Linked DNA regions of Saccharomyces cerevisiae S288C. The protein of the gene in region 4 binds, or shares a complex with, the protein of the main gene of each other region. Each region holds a gene or a part of one and is shown on either strand. Other genes may lie near its edges. The genes, in order: SDS3, SIN3, TOD6 and DEP1. A codon is read from its position in the direction of its gene.

What was found.
Region 1: the proteins of DEP1 (region 4) and SDS3 are in contact, whole or in part, in a cryo-EM structure (PDB 8HPO), measured with the Saccharomyces cerevisiae proteins. Residues at the interface, in NP_009389.3 of Saccharomyces cerevisiae: Arg197 (codon at 2,995), Gln198 (codon at 2,998), Tyr201 (codon at 3,007), Gln204 (codon at 3,016), Leu205 (codon at 3,019), Leu208 (codon at 3,028), Gln209 (codon at 3,031), Leu212 (codon at 3,040), Cys215 (codon at 3,049), Leu216 (codon at 3,052), His220 (codon at 3,064), Glu222 (codon at 3,070), Tyr226 (codon at 3,082), Tyr227 (codon at 3,085), Ile230 (codon at 3,094), Ala231 (codon at 3,097), Arg234 (codon at 3,106), Lys237 (codon at 3,115), Leu238 (codon at 3,118), Ala241 (codon at 3,127), Tyr242 (codon at 3,130), Arg244 (codon at 3,136), Gln245 (codon at 3,139), Glu248 (codon at 3,148), Leu249 (codon at 3,151), Cys251 (codon at 3,157), Ile252 (codon at 3,160), Glu255 (codon at 3,169), Thr256 (codon at 3,172), Thr259 (codon at 3,181); in NP_012182.1 of Saccharomyces cerevisiae: Phe32 (codon at 1,923), Tyr33 (codon at 1,920), Arg36 (codon at 1,911), Asp37 (codon at 1,908), Tyr40 (codon at 1,899), Leu44 (codon at 1,887), Leu47 (codon at 1,878), Asp50 (codon at 1,869), Leu51 (codon at 1,866), Leu54 (codon at 1,857), His55 (codon at 1,854), Gln56 (codon at 1,851), Gly57 (codon at 1,848), Gln61 (codon at 1,836), Tyr62 (codon at 1,833), Gln65 (codon at 1,824), Val66 (codon at 1,821), Leu69 (codon at 1,812), Glu70 (codon at 1,809), Arg73 (codon at 1,800), Glu76 (codon at 1,791), Leu77 (codon at 1,788), Leu80 (codon at 1,779), Glu84 (codon at 1,767), Arg87 (codon at 1,758), Val88 (codon at 1,755), Ser91 (codon at 1,746), Gly92 (codon at 1,743), Glu94 (codon at 1,737), Phe95 (codon at 1,734).
Region 2: the proteins of DEP1 (region 4) and SIN3 are in contact, whole or in part, in a cryo-EM structure (PDB 8HPO), measured with the Saccharomyces cerevisiae proteins. Residues at the interface, in NP_009389.3 of Saccharomyces cerevisiae: Asp297 (codon at 3,295), Val299 (codon at 3,301), Ile300 (codon at 3,304), Pro301 (codon at 3,307), Asp302 (codon at 3,310), Val303 (codon at 3,313), Asn304 (codon at 3,316), Tyr305 (codon at 3,319), Tyr322 (codon at 3,370), Leu356 (codon at 3,472), Ile359 (codon at 3,481), Arg362 (codon at 3,490), Met363 (codon at 3,493), Asn366 (codon at 3,502), Asn367 (codon at 3,505), Ile369 (codon at 3,511), Ser370 (codon at 3,514), Leu372 (codon at 3,520), Glu373 (codon at 3,523), Gly374 (codon at 3,526), Lys377 (codon at 3,535), Tyr378 (codon at 3,538), Phe379 (codon at 3,541), Phe382 (codon at 3,550), Pro383 (codon at 3,553), Gly384 (codon at 3,556), Ala385 (codon at 3,559), Pro386 (codon at 3,562), Leu388 (codon at 3,568), Asn389 (codon at 3,571); in NP_014639.1 of Saccharomyces cerevisiae: Pro643 (codon at 4,084), Ser644 (codon at 4,081), Val648 (codon at 4,069), Val649 (codon at 4,066), Pro650 (codon at 4,063), Glu651 (codon at 4,060), Pro652 (codon at 4,057), Thr653 (codon at 4,054), Glu654 (codon at 4,051), Pro655 (codon at 4,048), Ile656 (codon at 4,045), Glu813 (codon at 3,574), Tyr817 (codon at 3,562), Tyr820 (codon at 3,553), Val835 (codon at 3,508), Asn836 (codon at 3,505), Glu839 (codon at 3,496), Lys869 (codon at 3,406), Val870 (codon at 3,403), Tyr871 (codon at 3,400), Asp872 (codon at 3,397), Arg875 (codon at 3,388), Glu878 (codon at 3,379), Ile879 (codon at 3,376), Glu885 (codon at 3,358), His886 (codon at 3,355), Thr890 (codon at 3,343), Pro892 (codon at 3,337), Val893 (codon at 3,334), Leu895 (codon at 3,328).
Region 3: DEP1 (region 4) and TOD6 share a complex: the UniProt entries of both Saccharomyces cerevisiae proteins name them as parts of the RPD3C(L) complex.

What each region holds. Positions count from the first base shown.
Region 1 is NC_001141.2:201,244-205,222, forward strand, and holds SDS3 (Sds3p), read right to left. Parts: upstream 2,017-3,979; coding exon 1,033-2,016; downstream 1-1,032. Other genes in the region: KTR7 (putative mannosyltransferase), read right to left, coding at 1-800; phosphopantothenate--cysteine ligase CAB2, read right to left, coding at 2,313-3,410. UniProt on the Saccharomyces cerevisiae protein: Component of the RPD3C(L) histone deacetylase complex (HDAC) responsible for the deacetylation of lysine residues on the N-terminal part of the core histones (H2A, H2B, H3 and H4).
Region 2 is NC_001147.6:315,181-322,947, reverse strand, and holds SIN3 (transcriptional regulator SIN3), read right to left. Parts: upstream 6,011-7,767; coding exon 1,400-6,010; downstream 1-1,399. Other genes in the region: palmitoyltransferase PFA4, read left to right, coding at 1-1,090; DNA-directed RNA polymerase II core subunit RPB11, read left to right, coding at 6,773-7,135; TOP1 (DNA topoisomerase 1), read left to right, coding at 7,561-7,767. UniProt on the Saccharomyces cerevisiae protein: Catalytic component of the RPD3 histone deacetylase complexes RPD3C(L) and RPD3C(S) responsible for the deacetylation of lysine residues on the N-terminal part of the core histones (H2A, H2B, H3 and H4).
Region 3 is NC_001134.8:115,084-120,058, forward strand, and holds TOD6 (Tod6p), read left to right. Parts: upstream 1-2,505; coding exon 2,506-4,083; downstream 4,084-4,975. Other genes in the region: type 2C protein phosphatase PTC3, read left to right, coding at 1-85; YBL055C (3'-5'-exodeoxyribonuclease), read right to left, coding at 490-1,746; SAS3 (histone acetyltransferase), read right to left, coding at 4,296-4,975. UniProt on the Saccharomyces cerevisiae protein: Component of the RPD3 histone deacetylase complex RPD3C(L) responsible for the deacetylation of lysine residues on the N-terminal part of the core histones (H2A, H2B, H3 and H4).
Region 4 is NC_001133.9:126,864-130,987, forward strand, and holds DEP1 (Rpd3L histone deacetylase complex subunit DEP1), read left to right. Parts: upstream 1-2,406; coding exon 2,407-3,624; downstream 3,625-4,124. Other genes in the region: bifunctional N-glycosylase/AP lyase NTG1, read right to left, coding at 40-1,239; SYN8 (syntaxin), read right to left, coding at 1,389-2,156; cystathionine gamma-lyase CYS3, read left to right, coding at 3,936-4,124. UniProt on the Saccharomyces cerevisiae protein: Component of the RPD3C(L) histone deacetylase complex (HDAC) responsible for the deacetylation of lysine residues on the N-terminal part of the core histones (H2A, H2B, H3 and H4).

The DNA.
Region 1 (3,979 bases), on a different chromosome or scaffold from region 4:
GTTTTTTTTATAAAGCTTTTGGTTGTTCTGAACAAGTTGGGGACAGTCCAGTACAGTTCAGTTATAAGTACGGTAAACCCATATTTCTTGTTATGTTTGGCCATCTCGAAAAAGGGATCATACGAGATGTCACAAAAAAAGTCCACATCAGGTTCTATTCTCCAATACCATTCATACTTGGAAACTAATGGATGTTTATAAAAGATCCCGGAGTAAAATCGACACATCTTGTGATATGATTCCATATTACCATACATTATACCGCGATCGTTTTGGTCTTCTAATGAAGCCTTAAACTGCAATGAATTACGAACCTTAGCAGGAAACTCCCACATAATTTCATCAACAGTGCCAAACTCTACAGTGGCATTAGTTGCAGCTTGAATTTGGTCCTTAAAATGATCTGTAAAGGGGTCATCATTCAAGAAAACGTACGGATATTTGAACCACTTATTGAAATGGCCCTCTATACTTCTCATAGTTTTCAGTACGTCTTCTATTTCTTCGTTTCTCGTTAGCATAACGAAAGATGCGTTCATTTTGGAGTAAGCAGGATTTTGCAAGTACAGCTTTGTATCAGTGCAGCCCCGGAAAAATGGCTCGTCTTTGTCAGTCGAATAATCCTGTAAGGAATAAGGCAAATTATTTGGATCATGTACAATATCTTTTGCGAAAAATGGCCAGGTCCCCATACAGTAAAGTATGGCGAAGATACATCCTAAAAAGAGGAAACCATATCGTTTTTGTCGACACTTATCCAGCAAGAACCTTCTGACTTTTGGATTCAATCTTATAGCCATGCTAATTGCATCTAATTATGATGTATATTCTAGCCCTTCTTTGGTACAACTGTGCCTATAATCACAGATTGTTAGCCTGATGTATACAGTAAATTTTAGCCAATTTTTTTTTTTCGTTTTCCACTTGTATCCGAGAAAAGAAAGCAAAAACAAAAAGAGCTCACATTGAAATATAACCATCTAATGTAATATAATACAAAGTTAAAGTGGAAGGTTTGCAGCATAAAATAAATTAGTCAGACCTTAGTCTGAAAGGAGCCGGAGGCTGACCTGTTAATTCTCTGATCAAGGAAATATCCTCTGTGACCTCATCTGGTTTCAAAGACTGTAAAGGTGGAGCTGTTTTGGTGGAATATCGTTGAGCACCACGGTTTTTTTTCTTTTCATTCCCATTAGCATTGTCTTTGGGGTTCTTTTCGCCAAACAAAAATGCATATAGATCAGTACCTTCATTTATACCTTGTAGAAAATCTGAGTCAGAGTTCATGCCTGACTTGTAGGTTAGGTTGTTGAAATGGGGGAATTGCGACCCTTGTCTAGAACCATGGCCATTACTTCCAGAACCATTACCAGTTTGAAAATCAGATTCATCTTGATTGTTGTTGTTACCTCTCGTGTCTTTAGAAGCATTCCTTCTCCTTAGCGTTCTTCTATCGTTTCCAGCTCCCGTGTCAGTAGCACTTTCGTTTGCTGTATCTCTTCCATATTCGTTGGACGAAGAATCCCAACCACTTACTGTGTGACTTCTCGTGTTCTTCTGGTATTGCGGTCTGCTATAATTCATGGCATAGGAGTGCACATTGGCCACATCCATTAGTAACCTCTCCTCCTGTAATTTCTTTATTTTTTGCTCTATAGACGAATACAGTCTTTCTTTGCATAATTTAATGAGTTTCTCGTGTTCAGCCTTAGCCTTTTCAATATCTTCTTGAAATTCGATACCGGAACGAGAAACACGGTACTCTTCAAACAGGCGCAACCTGACTAACTCTAGATCTCTTTCTTCCTCCAAATCTCGTACTTGGCGGGCATATTGGCCATTATCACCTTGATGCAGAGAAGTTAAATCCGTTTGCAATGCTGTCAGTCTATCTTTATATTGATTATCTCTTTCTGAGTAAAAATTTTGATAAATCTTATTAACTTTAGATTCGATATTAAATCTTCTTTTGTCCTTGCGGGACAAGTCCTTGTTACTAACCTTTTGAATAGCCATCAATCTTGAAGACAATGCACACTGAGCTCTACAGTTTCTCTTGTTCTCTTAAAGCTTTTCCAAGGGTTCATTTTAGCTGAAAAATTGTTTGCGTTTTTTCTTCCTGAAATCTCAAGCGAAATGATCAATACATAAGCTAAATTAAATAATGAGAAAAAAGATACCTGAAAACATAATTAAGGCATAGAAGAAAAAGATTTGATAAAAGATAAATTTTCAGTTCAATAAAAAGGTTTACATACATCTAATTTTTTTTTTTGACGCAAATTTTTTTGATTACAGACAAGAGCTATGTTTTATTTCGTAGCTAGCTTAGTTTTCGAATGCGCCACCCATTTGTCATGGCGTGCGATGACTTCTGGGATTATCATCTCTTCAATGCTATGGTGTTTTTCATCCAAACGTACCCAATCTCCCTTTCTGTTTTCAGGGGATACGAAAATGACCTGTTTGTTTCTTGTCTGTAAAAGGTTTCCGATAACCAGTTGATGGTTGTATCTATCCAGGGCTTGTGTACATTTGTAAAGCAGCATGGATTCATCAGTTTCTAATTTGAACGAAACGATCATCGCTTGAGTGGCCCATGATTCCACTAATCTTCTCAAAAACTTAGGGACAGGGTCAAGATTCACAATCAGTTTACCATCAGGCGTAGTCCTAGTTGTACCTTCAGTGTCATTATTTGCTCCCATCTTACCGTTGTCTCCTGATTGAATCTTGTGCTGAGGTAGTCTTGAATATGGAACAAAAAAATCACTGACAGCAGCAGCTAAATAAAACAAGCAACCACTATTATTCAATAGCTTGGCTATACTTTTCAGTGACCATAAGTATTGGTTGACCGTGGTGAATGGTAGTAAAAGTAGTTTCTCCTCTTTCTCCATATACTTGTCATAAAGCTTTTTGTTCTTCAAAACATTCTCAGCAAATTCAGGTTTGATTTTACCTTCAGAATCAATGTAGTCCAAGAATAAAGTATTAATGCTATGGGAGAAGGACCTATTATACGGAGTTAATGAGAATTCCCTATGTAAGAAAATAACACTATATCCGTTCGCTAAGAACTGTTCAGCACTCGATGCACCACGAGTACCTGCAGAAAAATTATCGATAAAACGTACTGTATTGTTTTCCAATGGAACAGTAGTACCACCAGAGGTGATAAGAACTATTTTGTTCCTTTTCAGGGAATACTGCAAATCAATAAACTCTTTAGCGTCCTTAATCAATTCATCGATATAGGCAGGTTTAGGGTTAGTTTTGAAATATTGCTCTTCTTCAGTAGTGTAGGCAACGGGAAAGAGCTCTTCCTTGATTGTACGATCAATTGCATGACTTATTTCAGTAACAGACGTATGAATTTGAGGTCTGTTGAGCACGGGTAGAGGTGGCATTGCTATAGTATGAAGAAAAAAAGGAGTGTCTGCTGCTAATCTACACAGTTTATGACAACTAATAAAAGCGTTGTGTGCGTAATTGTCTTAGCCTCTTATACAGATGTCCTGTTGATGACAATGCCTTTAAAAAAAAAAAAAAAACGTTAACAATAGGTCACTCCTCCAGTTTTTGTCGTTTGGCGAATTCGGGTCATCGAATTCTTCCCTTGCCAATAAAGTTGGTGGAAAATACCCAAAACATCGCCTACATATCAAATCCGCAGATTTCAGGCACGCAATTTAGAGCCTACCATCTGTTCATAGTTAGGTTAGGCCATAGGTGGTCATCGTCGCCTCTACTTTCTTAGCATAATCAGGTTTTTTTCTTGATTTTTTTATCATAAATTGTAACTCCGATTTAAGTAGAAGTGAAAAAAAAAATACCCTGTTAATTGTCACAGCATCACTTCTTCCTGTTACTTTCAAAGCTGTAAAGTGTTAGCATCTTTGTGCAAGAAGTAATAAGAATTTAATTGTTAACAGGGTTTGTAGCACTGGTATACGTTTTTCCATATCATGGAACATGT
Region 2 (7,767 bases), on a different chromosome or scaffold from region 4:
GTTTCTGATTTCATTTATAGGCTATGGTGCACACTACTTTATTTTATCCAATTTCTTGTCAGTTCCGAAACAAATAACATTTGAGTTCTGTTTGTCAATGATATGGCTCTCCTATTACTTGGCCATCTGCACAAATCCAGGAAGGCCTTTGCCCAACTACAAACCACCCCCTGATATCTGGCGGAATTTCTGTAAGAAGTGCCAAAGTTATAAGCCAGAACGTTCACATCATTGTAAAACCTGCAATCAATGCGTCCTAATGATGGATCATCATTGTCCGTGGACGATGAATTGCGTCGGCTTTGCAAACTATCCGCATTTCCTTAGATTCTTATTTTGGATCATAGTGACGACTAGTGTTTTATTTTGCATACAAGCTAAGCGGATATATTTTATTTGGCAACAAAGGCACTTGCCTGGCTACTTCTTCAAAAAATCAGAACTGATTTTCTTAACAATATCGAGTCCTTTAAATTCTTTTGTCCTACTAACGATAACAATTCTTTTCCTACGATGTTTATTCAATCAAATCTTGAATGGAAGATCTCAAATTGAGTCGTGGGATATGGATCGGCTAGAATCTTTGTTCAACTCCGGAAGATTAACTCAGAAATTAATTGATAATACTTGGAGAATATATCCAGAGTCGAGGTCGTTTCAAAATAAAAAGGATGCTGAGGAACACTTGACAAAAAAAAGGCCACGTTTTGATGAACTTGTAAATTTCCCTTACGATTTTGATTTGTACACTAATGCATTACTGTACCTTGGTCCCATTCATTTATGGTTATGGCCATATGGTGTTCCTACGGGAGATGGGAACAATTTTCCAAAAAACGGTATTTCAAAATATGAGGCTAACTCCTCATTGGAAGACCACATCCTTTCACTTCCCTGGCCACCAGATGGAGGTAAAACAAACACCGTCTTCAATCATGGCAGCTCAACAATAGAGATGCGTAATGAAAGTGGCGAACAGCTAATAAGGACCAGACTTCCTCAAAATGGCAGACATGCTTCTCGTGAGAAGTGGTACAACGACTGGGGTGAATCACTAGACGATTTTGGAGTGGATGTTGATATGGAATAGAATACTCATTCATGGGAATATCAAGTATATGTATGTATAAACTGTCCCTTATAAATAGTGTCCTTTCGATTACATACTATGCTAATGACGTGTAAAAAGATTCATGCACCAGTGTATGAGTACACAAATATAACCACTGCATGTTATCACTTCTTCCTTTATGGAAAGATCGATGTGTCTTAAAAAGCTTCAAAAACACTTAGAATTTTAAAATTACAATGTTATATCGTTGACATTAATTAAAGGTACACATCAGAAGAAAGACCCTGTCGTACTAAAGATTTTTGTTCTAAATCTAGTTAAAACTACTTATTGAATCTTAGCCCCCTTGTCTGAAGATTCAGTATTCCCAGTCGTTTCTATATTATCATCTTGTGGTACAGTAGTAATGGATGCAGGCAGTACACTTGCAGTAGAGCTGTCCAAATTATCCGACTGCTCCTGTTTCGTAATTTTACCTTTTTCGGTTTCACTCTCTATTCCCTGGTTTCCAGCACTCGTCTTTGCTATGCTGTCTTTTAGGTTCTCCCATTTTTTTTGCATACTTAATTTTTGAGCCTCATCTAAATTATTTCTCAAACCAACTGCACAGTCTAGAAATTTTGATATCAACTCCTTCTTCTGAGAAACCATTCCTTTTTGAGTATTATCATTAGCAATAGTAGGATATTTGTTAGTAGCCTTACGGGTAAAAACATCGTAAGACCCGTTTTCAATATGCAGTTGGTAGGTTATAGGCTGGATCTTAATTTTCAATGTCGATACAGAGATGCCTTCGGGGGAAAACTCCTCATCTACCTCTGTTCCATCAATATCTTGTCCAAATTCGATGAGCCTTTCCAAAAATGGTATCTTCAGTTTCTCGTGCGGAATGCCTTCTGTTGGATGTGGCAGAGCATACGATGTTACATAATATTTCCATTTATCTTCGTCTGCCTTTGGTTCCTTTAGTGTCAAATCATCAAGTGCAATATATTGAATGGAAACATGCAGAGTTCTTTTATCAAACTCTATTCTAAACATATTTTCTGTGTTGGACATATGTGAGCGCACCTGCAAGCGATAGATAATTTGGTCCTTCGCACTCGTGGTGGAGGCATTTCTATCTTTAACGAACAAAGCCATTATTTCCGCAGTTTTAGCGTCAGTCATCAAGGTATGAGCATGCTTTACCAACGATTGGGTGACTTTATCAATTGTATAGAGTTTAAACGCTTTGTTATTGTAAGCTTGCCGCAAACTCTCTTCAAACCACTGATGTTCAAGATCCCCATTAATCAACCTTCTACTCAGTCTTAAAACCTGTTTGTACGCGTCTTCACCAACAAAATCTAGTCCCATTTCGGAAAGTTGACTCGATAATAAATCTAGATCTTTGGCAAAAGTAACTGTCGACCTTGTGTTGATTTCCTTTGTGACCCTTTCATTCATTTGCTTAATTTCCAAAAGCCGCTCATAAATCGTTGTCCAATGACGGAAAAATATGTAAATATTCGTATTAGCGAATAGATTAAAAATACTGCGATTTTGGATAATACCCTGAGAGTTTGCTTCCTCCACTAAATTCCCAGTTAGCCACGGATTTTTAGCTTCTTCATCGATGAGCTCTTCCTCCTCAATGGTATTAGGTTCTTCTTCGGGTGGTTCAGAGAGCTGGGGAACTTTGCCATCTTCATCATTAGAACGCTTTAGCTTTTGATATCTGCTCCTGTGTAAAATATCAAGTAAACTCATTTCTTGTTGATAGGGCCTCTTCCTTGATGCAATAGAACTGCCATCGTCAGATCCGCTAGATTCTGACACGTTTTGCTTATGGGAGTACAACGATTCTTCGATTTTTTCGAAAGAAATAGAAAAAAACAAAGAGATGAAGTATTTTAGTAAATCTTTCAATCTTTCTTTATCGGGATTAGAATAGGCTGTGGTATGGGTTATAAAAGTGTCAGCCAAACACAAGATATCATAGAAAATGTTTTTATCAGGGAAATCAAAATCTAACTGGCTCTTTGGTTTAGGAGTTAACCAGTGAATTTTTTTGTTTGTTTGATCAACTTTGATGCTGCTAATCTCTGATATCAACTGCTTTGTAGTTAATAATTTCTTGTCAGCCTGTTTAAATGTTAAGCCTAAATGATCTAATGACTTGAAAAAAACCTTCTGTTCTAACTCCCTCCAAACTTTATTCCATTCACGTTGAGCTCTTCTCCATTCTTCGTCTTTTTGCTTTAACCTTTTCAGAACGACTGGGGCTGTCACTGCAGGGTGCTCATGCAAAGCATCAATAATCTCGAACCCCCTTTCCTTATCATAAACTTTCCTTATCACTTTTTTATAAATAGTCATTGAAGTATGGCCAAGACCTGGAGGCAGTTTAAAATTGGCTTTTTCATTCTCAGTCATGTTCTCGATCTTATTTACAATTGTTTCCAAACATTGAATAGTTCTTAAATTTGATTCAATGTAAAAATCATACTCATGTCTTTCCTCTTCGATCTTGAATAGTGTTTCCTCATACTGGTTTTTACGATGAGCAATAAATCCCGAATCTTCGGAAGCCCATACAGGATGTCCAACCCATTCATCGTTCAAGACTTCCCAACACATATCATCCCTACCTGAGCATGGCATGAAAGTGTCACTTTTTGGTAGCCTCTTGTAACTTGGGCCAAATGCCTCACATAAATCTAAATCCAATCTATGTTTTTCATGAACAATATTCTCGATACATTTGGTTTTTTCTTGGTAGCCAACAAAGTTTTTGAACCACGTAAATAGTTCTTTATTGGAACCCAAGTAGAAATCTACCTTTTCCACTAAATCGTCAAGATCAAGTATATCTTGAGAGTACAAATTTAAAATTTTCAAAAACTCAGTGTATAAATGTTTATTGCCGATATACCTCTTGGCCTTTTCGAAGAAAGTGACTTCCTCATTAAGCGATATATTGTTTTCGATGGGCTCAGTGGGTTCAGGGACCACAGGCACAATGCTAGGATCTAAATCAATTTCCGGTCTAACAGGGATATCACCATACTGCGTATTTGCTATAGGACTAATACTTTGCGGGTGCTGCTGCTGATGTTGTATACTAGAAGGAGCGTACTGTTCAGTGAGAGACGTTCTTAGATCTGATAGAGGTGGATTTTCATTCGCTATCCCTTGATGTACCATATTTGGCCCGTGTTGAACGATCGATGGTAAGGGCATGAAGTGGGGTGGTTGCATGTGCTGTTGATCCTGATAGGCTTCATGTACGGTCGAACCGTTTGTTGGAGGCGAGAAGCTTCCTATAGGAGGCAAGTTTTGCTGTGGAATACCTCGGTTAGAAGGATGGCCGTAATAGCCCGAAGCTGGATACAAGAATTGCTGTTGCTGCTTCTGTTGTTCCACCTGTGCCTGTGCCTGAGCCTGAGCTTGTGCCTGTGCATGCATTTGGGCCTCATGTTGTTGTTGAGCATGTTGCTGAGCATGTTGCACCTGCTGATTGGCAGAAGCTGAAGAGTCCGGCAAGAATTTCTTGAAATCTTCTAGTAAATCAGGAGCATTTTGGAAAAGATGCGTCACTTGTGCGTAGACTTCGTTTATTGGCTTTTGCTCTCGCTGATAAGTTTGTAGTATTTCCAGAAAATGCTTGTAAATATCAGGTTGGTCGGCAAATCTAGTTTTAATTTTATTAACGTAGCTTATGGCTTGACTAAATTCGACATCAACGTTTTTCTTAGCATCTTCTTGAGGCACTAAAGATTGACTTTGTGGGATTTGGCGATGTGCAGGCATTTCAGGTTGTTGAATTGAAGGTAAACCAGAAGAAGTAGCTAAAAGAGGCAAAGATTGTTGTTGGTCTTGGTTTTGTTCCGATTGATACACACTCGAAGGCACCATTGGCACATTGGAGGGCTGTTGAACACCATTTCCATCGCTTTCTGGAAAAGAACCAAGTTCCTGTGCATCCGTTGTACCTCTACCAGATGGACTGATGTTATTGTTTACTGTCGTAGTACCCATTGGTGTAGTAACTCTAATGGGGTCGTCCGGATTAGAGGAGCATTCGATTCTATAGCCTTGGGGTAGAAAAGTATTGAACCCTTGAATCAAAATTGGATAACCTCTGAACAAAGTGGATACTCTTTCAATAACGCCCGGTGTGTCTATTGCCTGAGATTTAAAGTCCTTCATAATATCTAAAAATAAATTATAGATATCCGGACGCGAACTAAATTGAAATTTGACCTGTTCGAGGTAAGATAGGGCATCCTTCACGTTTAGAGGTCTGTAGTCAGCATCTTCATCGTGAGAATTTTCGTTGTTATTATTGTCATCGTTAGCATCTGCATGGTTGCTGCTAGGGTCAGGGGCATCAGCAGGCTGCACACCAGCGGGAACTTCCTTGCAATCTTGAGGCCGTTGCGTCGCCTTTTCTTCTTCCTGAAGACCATTATAACTTTTTGGTTCCTCTGTATGAACAGGAGCTTTTATCGGTAATGGATTGTCAAATCTCGACAAAGAAAAACTGGCGGCTCCCACTGTGGGGAGGGGAGCTGGACCAGCATTCATAAGCGAAGCGTTTATAGAGGGAGAAGAGGACGAAGATTTAGGGCGAGGGTGATACTCGTGGGGCTGTTTCAATGCTGAATCAGTTGCAATTGAGGGCATAGCATTTGAATGTGGGGGAGGATAACCTAATATGTGAGCAGCATGAGAAGTTAGAGCCTGTTGGCCATTGGAATCTCTTCTATCTTCCTCCTTAGTACTCAAGGCAGATAGCGAGGGTAAAGTAATCCGTTGCTGCTGTTGAACAAAACCGGGCTTATTTCCCTGGAGGGACGGTTCTTTTTCGTTTCTTTCGTTGGAACCCGTAGCGTCATTTGAAGTAGCCACATCGTTTGATTGCGAATTCGAATTATGCCAAACCTGTGACATTTTTGTACAATGTATAACTTGTTTCTTAGATATTTTGTCCTTTTCCAAATAACCTCAAACGAACACAACAAAAGGGTAAAGAGACTATACTGAAAGCGGTCAATAGCGTAGCCTGTTGTGGAGGGAGGGAAGTAACAAAGAATATGTGGTACGTGAATGAGCTGATTAGTTAGGTACGGTGCCTCGAATATTAGCAATGCTGGTGCGAAAAAGGGAAGACAAATGTAATAGGGAAGGGGAGTAACCGTTGTTTTGCAAATCACGTTTGCTGAAGAACTGCAAAATGAAGGCGACTTTTTTGCGAATGGAAAAAAATCACTAGAAAATCCGATATCATTACCCGTACTGGTTTATTCTACGTTACACGGGTAACCCCGCAGTGTGTGCCACACTCTGGGCAGCGCGTAACAACAGTAGTTACAAGACTGGAGTAGAAGATAGATTTTTTAAATTATAAACAGAATTTACAGACTACTGGAGAGGGATCACGGTAAGCCTCGTCGGTAAGCCTCGTCGGTAAGCCTCGTCGGTAGATCCGTGTCATGTCATGGATAATGCTGCTATCCGAGTTCAAAAAACTTGCAAGCTCAATATTATCATTACCCGGACTTAATAAAGTGGAAGTGTCCGCGAAAATTCTAGGTTCACTGCTTTGGCACACACAAGAGGTCCGTTAAAAGAAGAGCGAGAGAACTGAGCCGTGCAGCCTAAATAGATAGCTACGTAGCCACCAAACCAGATACATTTGGACACAACTGCATCATGAATGCTCCAGACAGATTCGAACTGTTCCTTCTGGGTGAAGGGGAATCCAAGCTAAAGATTGACCCCGACACCAAAGCCCCCAACGCAGTAGTGATAACGTTTGAGAAGGAGGACCACACGTTGGGAAACCTGATTCGTGCAGAACTTCTGAACGACAGAAAAGTGCTGTTTGCCGCTTACAAGGTTGAGCATCCCTTCTTCGCTCGTTTCAAGCTGAGAATACAGACCACCGAGGGCTACGACCCGAAGGATGCCTTGAAAAACGCCTGTAACAGCATCATTAACAAGCTTGGCGCCCTGAAGACAAATTTCGAAACCGAGTGGAACCTGCAAACTCTAGCCGCCGACGACGCATTTTGATATATAGGAGTTTAATACTATAGCCATAAAATCTAAACAGAATGGAAACGGACATACACATAATATACGCTCATATATATTTATACATAACTTCAATGTCTTGAACACGTAAATTTTAGTGTGAGAAACCTTTTTCACTCCGGGTAATACCTGCTGTAGTCTTCAAAAAAAAAAAAAAAAAAGAAAAAAAACCAGCCATGGAAAGCTCTTTATTTTTTTACTTTACGGCTTTTTTCCCTTTTCTTATATGATCGATGCACGTAAAGAACAACTGTATTTTTTTGTTTCAACACTAACACGAGCGCAATATTCTTTTTTGTTTTCTCTGTTACTCTAATTACCTGAGTCCTATTCTTATAGTATTAAAACAGCAAATAAAAAAAATCTAAAGGGAGGGCAGAGCTCGAAACTTGAAACGCGTAAAAATGACTATTGCTGATGCTTCCAAAGTTAATCATGAGTTGTCTTCTGATGACGATGACGATGTGCCATTATCTCAAACTTTAAAAAAAAGAAAGGTGGCGTCCATGAACTCTGCCTCTCTTCAAGACGAAGCGGAACCTTATGATAGTGATGAGGCAATCTCTAAGATTTCCAAGAAAAAGACTAAGAAAATAAAGACCGAACCAGTG
Region 3 (4,975 bases), on a different chromosome or scaffold from region 4:
TGATGATAACGATGATAACGACGGCGAAGAAAACGGCAAGAATGAAAATGCGAAGAAGGGTTCCAAGATTGAAGAAATTGAATAATAAATATTGTCGAACCGTACTTTGCAACGAAAGAGTAGTCAAACTTTGTTATCTTTATTTGTTATTCCTCTTCTGCCGATGGATTGTTTTTTACTGGATCATCTTTGCGGCCCATATTGAGGAGATGGTGAAATTCATAAAAATCATTACGAGAGAATGATAAATTGTAACAGAATTTATAAATCCTATTCATATAGATACATCTGTTTTTCCTTACTCTGTTTTTATTTTGTTGGTAACCTTTGAATCCTTTTTGATGAAAAAAATAGAAAAAAAAAAAAAAAAAAAATGAAAGCAATATCGACTGTATGTATATGCGCACCATAATTTTCCTATTAATAGTTTAAGCATAATTAGTGTACTTACTAAAAATAATGTAACTTTGCTCTTTGCACCAATAGATGTTACTCTCCAAATATCTTACAGGTCGTCTTCCACGTGGTATCTATCAAAGTAGCCAGATCCACGTCCTTGACTTCCGATACGACAATTGCTACTTGTTCCATATTACAAGGCTCATTACGGCCCTTGACCATGTAAAGTTCTTCTGCATTCAACTTGTCAGCGAGCTTATTTTTCTTAACGGACTTGAATGCAGGGTATTCGAAATCCCTAACCTCCTGGTATTTGGCTAAGTACTGGAAAGATGCATGCGTTCTTTTAATCTCACACCACGGAGCATCTGTCTCTAATAACAACCTTTCTGTTGGTATTTGCTTTACAACAGCTAGATTTTCCTCGGTTCTCAACGAGCAACCGTTTACTCCTATGAAGATGTTGGGTGATAAGTTCAGTAATTTCTGCAAATCTATCGCAGAACCAGTGAATGAATGGACCACTAGTTTTCTATCTGGATGAAATTTGTAAAACCCGCTAGACGACGATGCACCTAACTTTTGTAGCTGAAAGGTATCCCTCTCATCAGTGAACCCGGCAATAAATCTTTCCAATATTTGAACAAAATCGTCACATGCGCTTCTCATATGCAGAAACAATGGATAGCTGCTGAGTTTATCGTTCAAACAACTTATTTTCAGTTGCTCTTCAAAAAAAACCTTTTGCATCTCTTTAGAACTATAGTGAAATCTGTCGTAGTCCAACCCGATCTCACCAATTGACCTGAAACTTGTATCATGAGGTTTTGCTTGCTGATTCATCAAATCATAAAGCTCTTTCAGTTTACCCTGTGCAAAAGATGGATTACTAATAACTTTAGCATATAGAGACTCATTATATGCTTCATCCATGGAAGGGTTATCAATAGAAGCGCTAGCCTTGTCCCCTTGACTAGCATCCGCAAACTCGTTAACGCAACATGGGTGAACACCTATTGTGTGATACAGCTTTAACGGGCTAAGATCTTTGACGCTGCTTACCAACTCAATGGCACTTTGAGACTCCGCTATGGATGATCCTGTAACAAGGGCATTTTTCACGTGCCTCTGAGCAGCACGCTCTAATAATTTTACATAATCTGCTGGATGGTACTGCTTACCATTGTAAATACCGTGAAACATAGGATCTGTCAGATTCAATCCAATATCATAGTATTTCAGCGGAGAATCCGTGGCAGTTGATGTCATGCTATAATATTGTGTCAAAATTGGTTTCCAGAGCCTAGAACAACTTTTGTTCGAGGATTTCAATAAGATGCCCCACATATAACTATAACAGTACTGGCGCCTCAAAAAAATGCCTTGGCAGCGAAAGTGTCCACCTTTAGTTGTCCATTGCTACCAGGACATCACCACTGGGCCCTTCCAGCATGCTGGAAAGATTGTTCTTAGAAGAGTGCTGTTCTAAGTAACCCGGCGTTAGTAGGGGCTAAGCCTTCTAGAAGGCCGGAAAAGGCTCAGAAATGCCTGCAGTGCAAAGCTTTTCAGGAACGTTACTAGCGCAAGTCTTCTGGCTGCTGTTTAGCAACCTCTTTGCAGGTATTTCGCAGCGGGATTTCGCAGGTGTCTTGCCTAGCGTATCAACACTTAGTAGCAGTTAGGTTCTAAAGTTAAACTCCACTTCCGTTCTTCTTCGAGTTCCTTTTTGAGCGGTTTGGCCTATCTTGTCTCATCATCTTGTTAGTGTGCGACGTTATCTGTGGGTGAGAGAGGCTATTTTTGGTCCGGTGAAAAAAAAATTTTTTCTCTGCTGAGAGCTGAAATTTGAAAATTGAGATGAGATGCGATGCGATGAGATGCGAGACCAATGCGATGAGACACTTTTCTACTTCCTTACACAGAAGTCGTGTATAGTTTTTGTACGTTGATATTAATAAAGGCTTTTCATATCATTTTGTTTTCAGGTAAACAAATCTGGCAAATCTCCACTGCTTGAGTCATTAAAACTACTCACTCAAGAAGGCATATACACGACAGTGGGTAGAGAAAAGAATATATCACTGTTCTTATTGAAGTTCCCTCGCGATGACGTTGCCGAAACTCAGTAGCGTTTCTGTTTCATCAGGACATGTTAGTGCCAACTCACATGGTTTCTCAATACTAAGCAAACACCCTCACCCAAATAATCTTGTCCATTCCCACTCACTTTCTCACACAAATGCGAAGAGCCACCTGCCTATCAGTAGCACTAGCACTAAAGAGAACAGCACGAACAAGGAGGAGGCGGAATCACTCAAAAAAAACAACCCCTCTTCTTGGGACCCTAGTGATGATATCAAGCTCCGCCACCTGAAAGAGATCAAGAACTTGGGCTGGAAGGAGATTGCACATCATTTCCCAAATAGAACTCCTAACGCTTGTCAATTCAGATGGAGGAGACTGAAATCAGGCAACTTAAAGTCTAACAAGACCGCAGTTATTGACATCAATAAGCTATTCGGCGTGTATGCGACTGGTGATGCTACCCCATCCGCGGGTACTCCGTCTGCGGAAGAAGCCGTAAAAGAGGAAGCTGTTGAGGATGAAGATATTACTGCAGGTTCTAGTGCTATCGAGGATTCTCCACCGGATTTCAAGCCATTAGTTAAGCCTAAATACATGGACAGAAAACTGATAACTCAAAGATCTACATCAACATTTTCGGACCATGAGCCACAACACACGAAACCAAGGAAACTGTTTGTTAAGCCAAGGTCCTTCTCTCATTCTATAACAACCAACACGCCTAATGTAAAGACTGCTCAGCAGACAAATCTAAGCCTTTATAACACTACTTCAGCAAAGACAAATAAAGCTGTTAATTCCAATGATTATGAGAATATTGGTCTTGTGCCTAAAATTATTATCAGGTCTAGAAGGAACTCCTTTATTCCTTCAACTCAAATCCCTCATTCAACGACGAAGACTAGGAAAAACTCGCATTCCGTAATTTCTTCTAGAAGATCATCTTTTAACATGATGCATTCAAGAAGATCATCCTTCAACTCTCACGCTCCTACGGAGCCTATTTCTAGAAGAGCTTCCTTGGTAGTTAGCCCGTATATGTCACCCAGAAGGTTATCTACATCGCAATCCGTTCATTATCATCCACAGCACCAATACTATCTTAACCCCATAGCGTCTCCCAACTGCAAGACAGACCACGCAAATGACAAAATCACGCACACGAGGACTTTCTTAGATATGCAAAAATTCGCTAATAAACACCCGTGGTCTAGAGAAGATGATGAAGTGCTACTTAACAATACGAAGGACAAACAAAACCATTTGTCGCCGCTAGAAATTTCTATTGTTCTGCCTAATAATAGATCCGAGTTGGAAATCCAACAAAGAATGGATTATTTAAAGAGAAAAGGACGTGTAAGTGGTTTTCATACAAATGAAGGATGCAAAGACGAGGAGGAGGAGGATGACATTGACCCACTGCACAAGGAGAATGGCATTAACACGCCATCGCAGCAATCGCAAAATTACGGTATGTTAGAGGCTAAACATGATAATCCAAAGTCTAGTGAGCTTTCTTCTATGACCAGCGCAAATGACATACGCAATGAGCAAGATGAACTTCCAGGTATAAATTCTATCTTTAAAAATATATTTTAAGCTAAGAGACGAATTTAGTTTGTTTTGACTATTCGTTTAATGAGTACAAATTAATCGCACCCACACATGTACACACACACATATATATCTTTATATATACACATAAAATTTATTCGTAGGAGAATTCTGTAATACTATTGACTACAAGGGTTCTTATTGCTATTAATAATGTTACATGTATATGCTTATATCCAATATATACCCATCGCCGCTTATTCTTCGTCATCCTCTATTAGAGTTATTTTTCTTCTTTTTCTGACTCTCTCCTTCCTTATGTGGCTTTCTATATCGTTTTCATCCTGCTCTTGTCCTTTTCTCTTCCCATCCTCATCATCATCACTGTCTTCTTCATATGTGTCTTCCTCCTCATCATTTTCTTCTGATATTTGCTCATCCTCAATGTCATCATCAAGGGTAAAGTCTTCGTCTTCGTCTTCATCTTCTTTGGCGTTTTCACCTACATATAATTCAGTATCTACATCGTTTTCTACTTCATCCTGCTCTAAACTTGATATTCCAGTATCGTTTCTCCTAGCTGCATGATTTCCAAGTGGTGTTTCGGAGTTTTTAATAGTGAAGCAGAGCTCCCAATGAGTTTCTGTACTAAATTTTGATCTTGGTATCCCTTTGCGATCATGGATGCTTTCCAGCACTCTTTTTTCCGCTTGATAGATTAATCTATCATTATTTGTGTTCTTATAATCACACATATACTCTGTTAAGGAGGAAACAGTGTCTTCAAAAAAATCAGTAGCAGGTACTTCCGGTTCTATGATATTGTTTACATGAAGCTTGGATGTTTTGTGCTCACTACTTCTTCTTCTTCTTCTTCTGCGTTTATTATGTGCTCTACTGTTGTTATAGTTTTCTATATGTGTGTTATTCGAAATTA
Region 4 (4,124 bases):
TGCTTTCTTTTCTTTTCTTTTTTTTTTTTTTTACCACACTTAGTCCTCTACTTTAACAGAAATATCATTTTCCAGTTTGACCATAGTTTCTTCAACTGTTTTCTCCTCGTGTTTAACATTGATTTCCGCCTCCACGTTCAGTTCACGTTTTCCTTCCAGGTATTTCACCCACTTTGGATAACTCATGATATTTTGCTGGATTTCCTTGTACAATTGAGACTGCAAATCCCAATCTAAGGAGCTTCTGGGATCATCCGGTGGCAAGAATTGTAACATGTCACCAAGGTTCCTCGATTTAGTGATTATTTGTCCAAATCCAACCAGCAACCCATTTATTTCTGTCCAAAGCCCCTTAGGCAGCCAATTTTGTAATTGAGTTCTTGTCTGATCTGGAGTCTTGCATTTCTGCGCATCTACCCATTTCCAAAGCTTGGTCAATCTATCCACGTGAACGTCAACGCAGATACCTTCAATCTTGCCCCATGCCTTTTGTAATGTTAGATAAGCCATTTTGGGCCCTACACCGGGCAGGCCCAATAGCTCATTAATCGTAGCTGGAACATCACTCGAAAACTGATCTTGAAGGATTTTGCAGGTTGACAAAATATACTTGGCCTTCCTTGTGTGGAACCCAACTGAATGAATCAATTCGTCTAATTTGGTCTCATTGATTTGTAAAACGGCCTCTAATGTCATACCTTCTTCGCTGTGCAGTTCGTCTATACAATACCGCATTATGTTAAGCATTGCCATTGCGGTAACTTCATCTTTTGTTTGCGATGATAGCATCACCCCAAGAAGGACCTGTAATCTGTAGTCCCTCGGTGATATCTGCTCTTTCGAGATACCACACTTAGAGGCAACCGTTACAGGAATGGATGATCCACCAATTATATCGACGGGGGCTAGAATCTTAGATCTCAGTACTCGCATTCTAGCGTATGTTTCTTGAAACTTGTAAGGGACTTTCGTCGAGGCCGGAGTGACAAGGATCGAGGGGTCCAATGGTGTGGCCCACCTGTTGGGCACATTGCCGTTTCTAACCACAATCCATTCGAAGTACTGCTTATTTGGCAGCGATTTAACCCAGTCGATATCCACGGGTTGAGGGACAACCTCTTCTTGTTTGATTTTGGTCCTTTTCTCCGGTAGGAGTTCTGATTCTGGCCCAGTTTCAGTCTTTACCAGCGGTCTTTTCCTCAGAATTGCCATAGATGAGTATTTACTGATCTTTTGCATATTTTTTTTTTTTTTGGGCTATAAAGTATATATAGATACAAATATATGATGAATCATTAAAGAGGAGGTTATTACTAAGTGAAAGAAAAAGAAAAAAAAAAAGATCAAAACCAAACTTCGTATTCGAGCCTAAAAAACAGAATATAATGTTATAATACTAATAGAAGCAACAGGAGCACCACTATCAGCACAAGAATAATCACGCAGTTGCCGTTATCCTTGAACCTAGAATTGTTAAAGCCATGCATGGACCGAGAGGCCCTGTTCAAATTCCTACCATTATTATCAATCAGGTTTTCTAAATCAACCAGCAGCGAGTCGTTCTGAGAAACGATCTCATTATTAAGGTCCAGCGAAATGTCATGAGTCCTCCCAATAGACTGAGACAGTGCGCCCAAGTGGGAATCTTGCTCTAACAACTGCTGTTGCTGGTTAATAAATAGTTCTTGGTTGGAAACCATGGGTTGTGGTGGCTGTGGCTGTGACTGTGACTGTAACTGCGATTGCAATGGTTCATCCTTGTATGGAGTATGCGTCGAAGGCAGCGGCGACTCCTCGTCTTGTTCATCGTCATCCTTATACATGACCGTAAGCTCGTCATCATTCTTGAACCGCACTTTTTTCAAAGACTCTTTGGACACCTCATCAGTATTTCTTGCCACCTGCTGTTGGAACCTATACAACTCCTTGTCAACCGCCGTATCAGGAATTTTGTCCAGTATGGTATTGTATCGGGATATTAGTTCATCATTGGGCGCACACTTCTGCAATAACTCCAATATTGAGCCCAATTGCCGTTTCAAAGTAACGTTATCGTTTGAGGTCGGGGCGAGCTTCAACACCGACACTAGCCTTGTTCTTTCTTCGACCAGATCAGAGAGCTGGTCCAGTTCATAACCCAGCTTCAACACATCCATACCGTGTGTGCTTACGCATCTATTTGCTGTCGTGAGATCTGTCTCTATGCTTTATTCGTTTTCCATTGTAAAGTCTCAGCATTTATTTCTTGTTCTTTACTTGTTTTTGCCCTTTCGGGTGATCAAAGTCGTGCTGGGAAATTTTATTCTTATAAAATGATTTTTAGAAATAATAAACTCATAACAGTGCAACGGCAAAGTACAAGGGAAGGAAGCACAGAAGCAAGAGGAGGCGCATCGATCGTGGCAGATGAGTCAGCAAACACCACAGGAAAGTGAACAGACCACAGCGAAAGAACAGGACCTTGATCAAGAGAGCGTGTTGAGCAACATTGACTTCAATACGGATTTGAATCACAATTTGAATTTATCGGAATACTGTATATCCAGTGACGCAGGAACAGAGAAGATGGATAGCGACGAGGAGAAGTCGTTGGCCAATCTGCCGGAGTTGAAATACGCTCCCAAGCTATCCAGCCTGGTGAAGCAAGAGACGCTCACCGAGAGCTTGAAAAGACCACACGAAGATGAGAAAGAGGCGATAGATGAGGCCAAGAAGATGAAAGTGCCGGGAGAGAACGAGGACGAAAGCAAGGAAGAGGAAAAGAGTCAAGAACTGGAAGAGGCAATTGACAGCAAGGAGAAGAGCACCGACGCCAGGGACGAGCAAGGGGACGAAGGTGATAATGAGGAGGAAAACAACGAGGAGGATAATGAAAACGAAAACGAGCATACAGCACCGCCTGCGCTGGTGATGCCCTCCCCCATCGAAATGGAGGAACAGAGGATGACTGCGCTGAAGGAAATCACCGACATCGAGTACAAGTTCGCGCAATTGCGCCAAAAACTATATGACAATCAATTGGTGCGGTTGCAAACGGAGCTGCAGATGTGTCTGGAAGGGTCACACCCGGAATTGCAGGTCTACTACTCGAAGATTGCCGCGATCCGTGACTACAAGCTACACCGAGCGTACCAGCGACAGAAGTACGAGCTTTCATGCATCAACACAGAAACAATCGCTACCAGGACATTCATTCACCAGGACTTCCACAAGAAGGTCACCGACCTGCGAGCCAGGCTGCTGAACAGAACCACGCAGACCTGGTACGATATCAACAAGGAGCGCCGCGATATGGATATAGTCATCCCAGATGTCAATTACCACGTCCCCATCAAACTTGATAACAAGACGCTGAGCTGTATCACGGGCTACGCCAGCGCAGCACAGCTGTGCTATCCCGGCGAGCCCGTGGCAGAGGACCTCGCTTGCGAAAGCATCGAGTACCGCTACAGAGCCAACCCGGTGGACAAACTCGAAGTCATTGTGGACCGAATGAGGCTCAATAACGAGATTAGCGACCTCGAAGGCCTGCGCAAATATTTCCACTCCTTCCCGGGTGCTCCTGAGTTGAACCCGCTTAGAGACTCCGAAATCAACGACGACTTCCACCAGTGGGCCCAGTGACCGCCACACTGGACCCCATACCACTTCTTTTTGTTATTCTTAAATATGTTGTAACGCTATGTAATTCCACCCTTCATTACTAATAATTAGCCATTCACGTGATCTCAGCCAGTTGTGGCGCCACACTTTTTTTTCCATAAAAATCCTCGAGGAAAAGAAAAGAAAAAAATATTTCAGTTATTTAAAGCATAAGATGCCAGGTAGATGGAACTTGTGCCGTGCCAGATTGAATTTTGAAAGTACAATTGAGGCCTATACACATAGACATTTGCACCTTATACATATACACACAAGACAAAACCAAAAAAAATATGACTCTACAAGAATCTGATAAATTTGCTACCAAGGCCATTCATGCCGGTGAACATGTGGACGTTCACGGTTCCGTGATCGAACCCATTTCTTTGTCCACCACTTTCAAACAATCTTCTCCAGCTAACCCTATCGGTACTTACGAATACTCCAGATCTCAAAATCCTAACAGAGAGAACTTGGAAAGA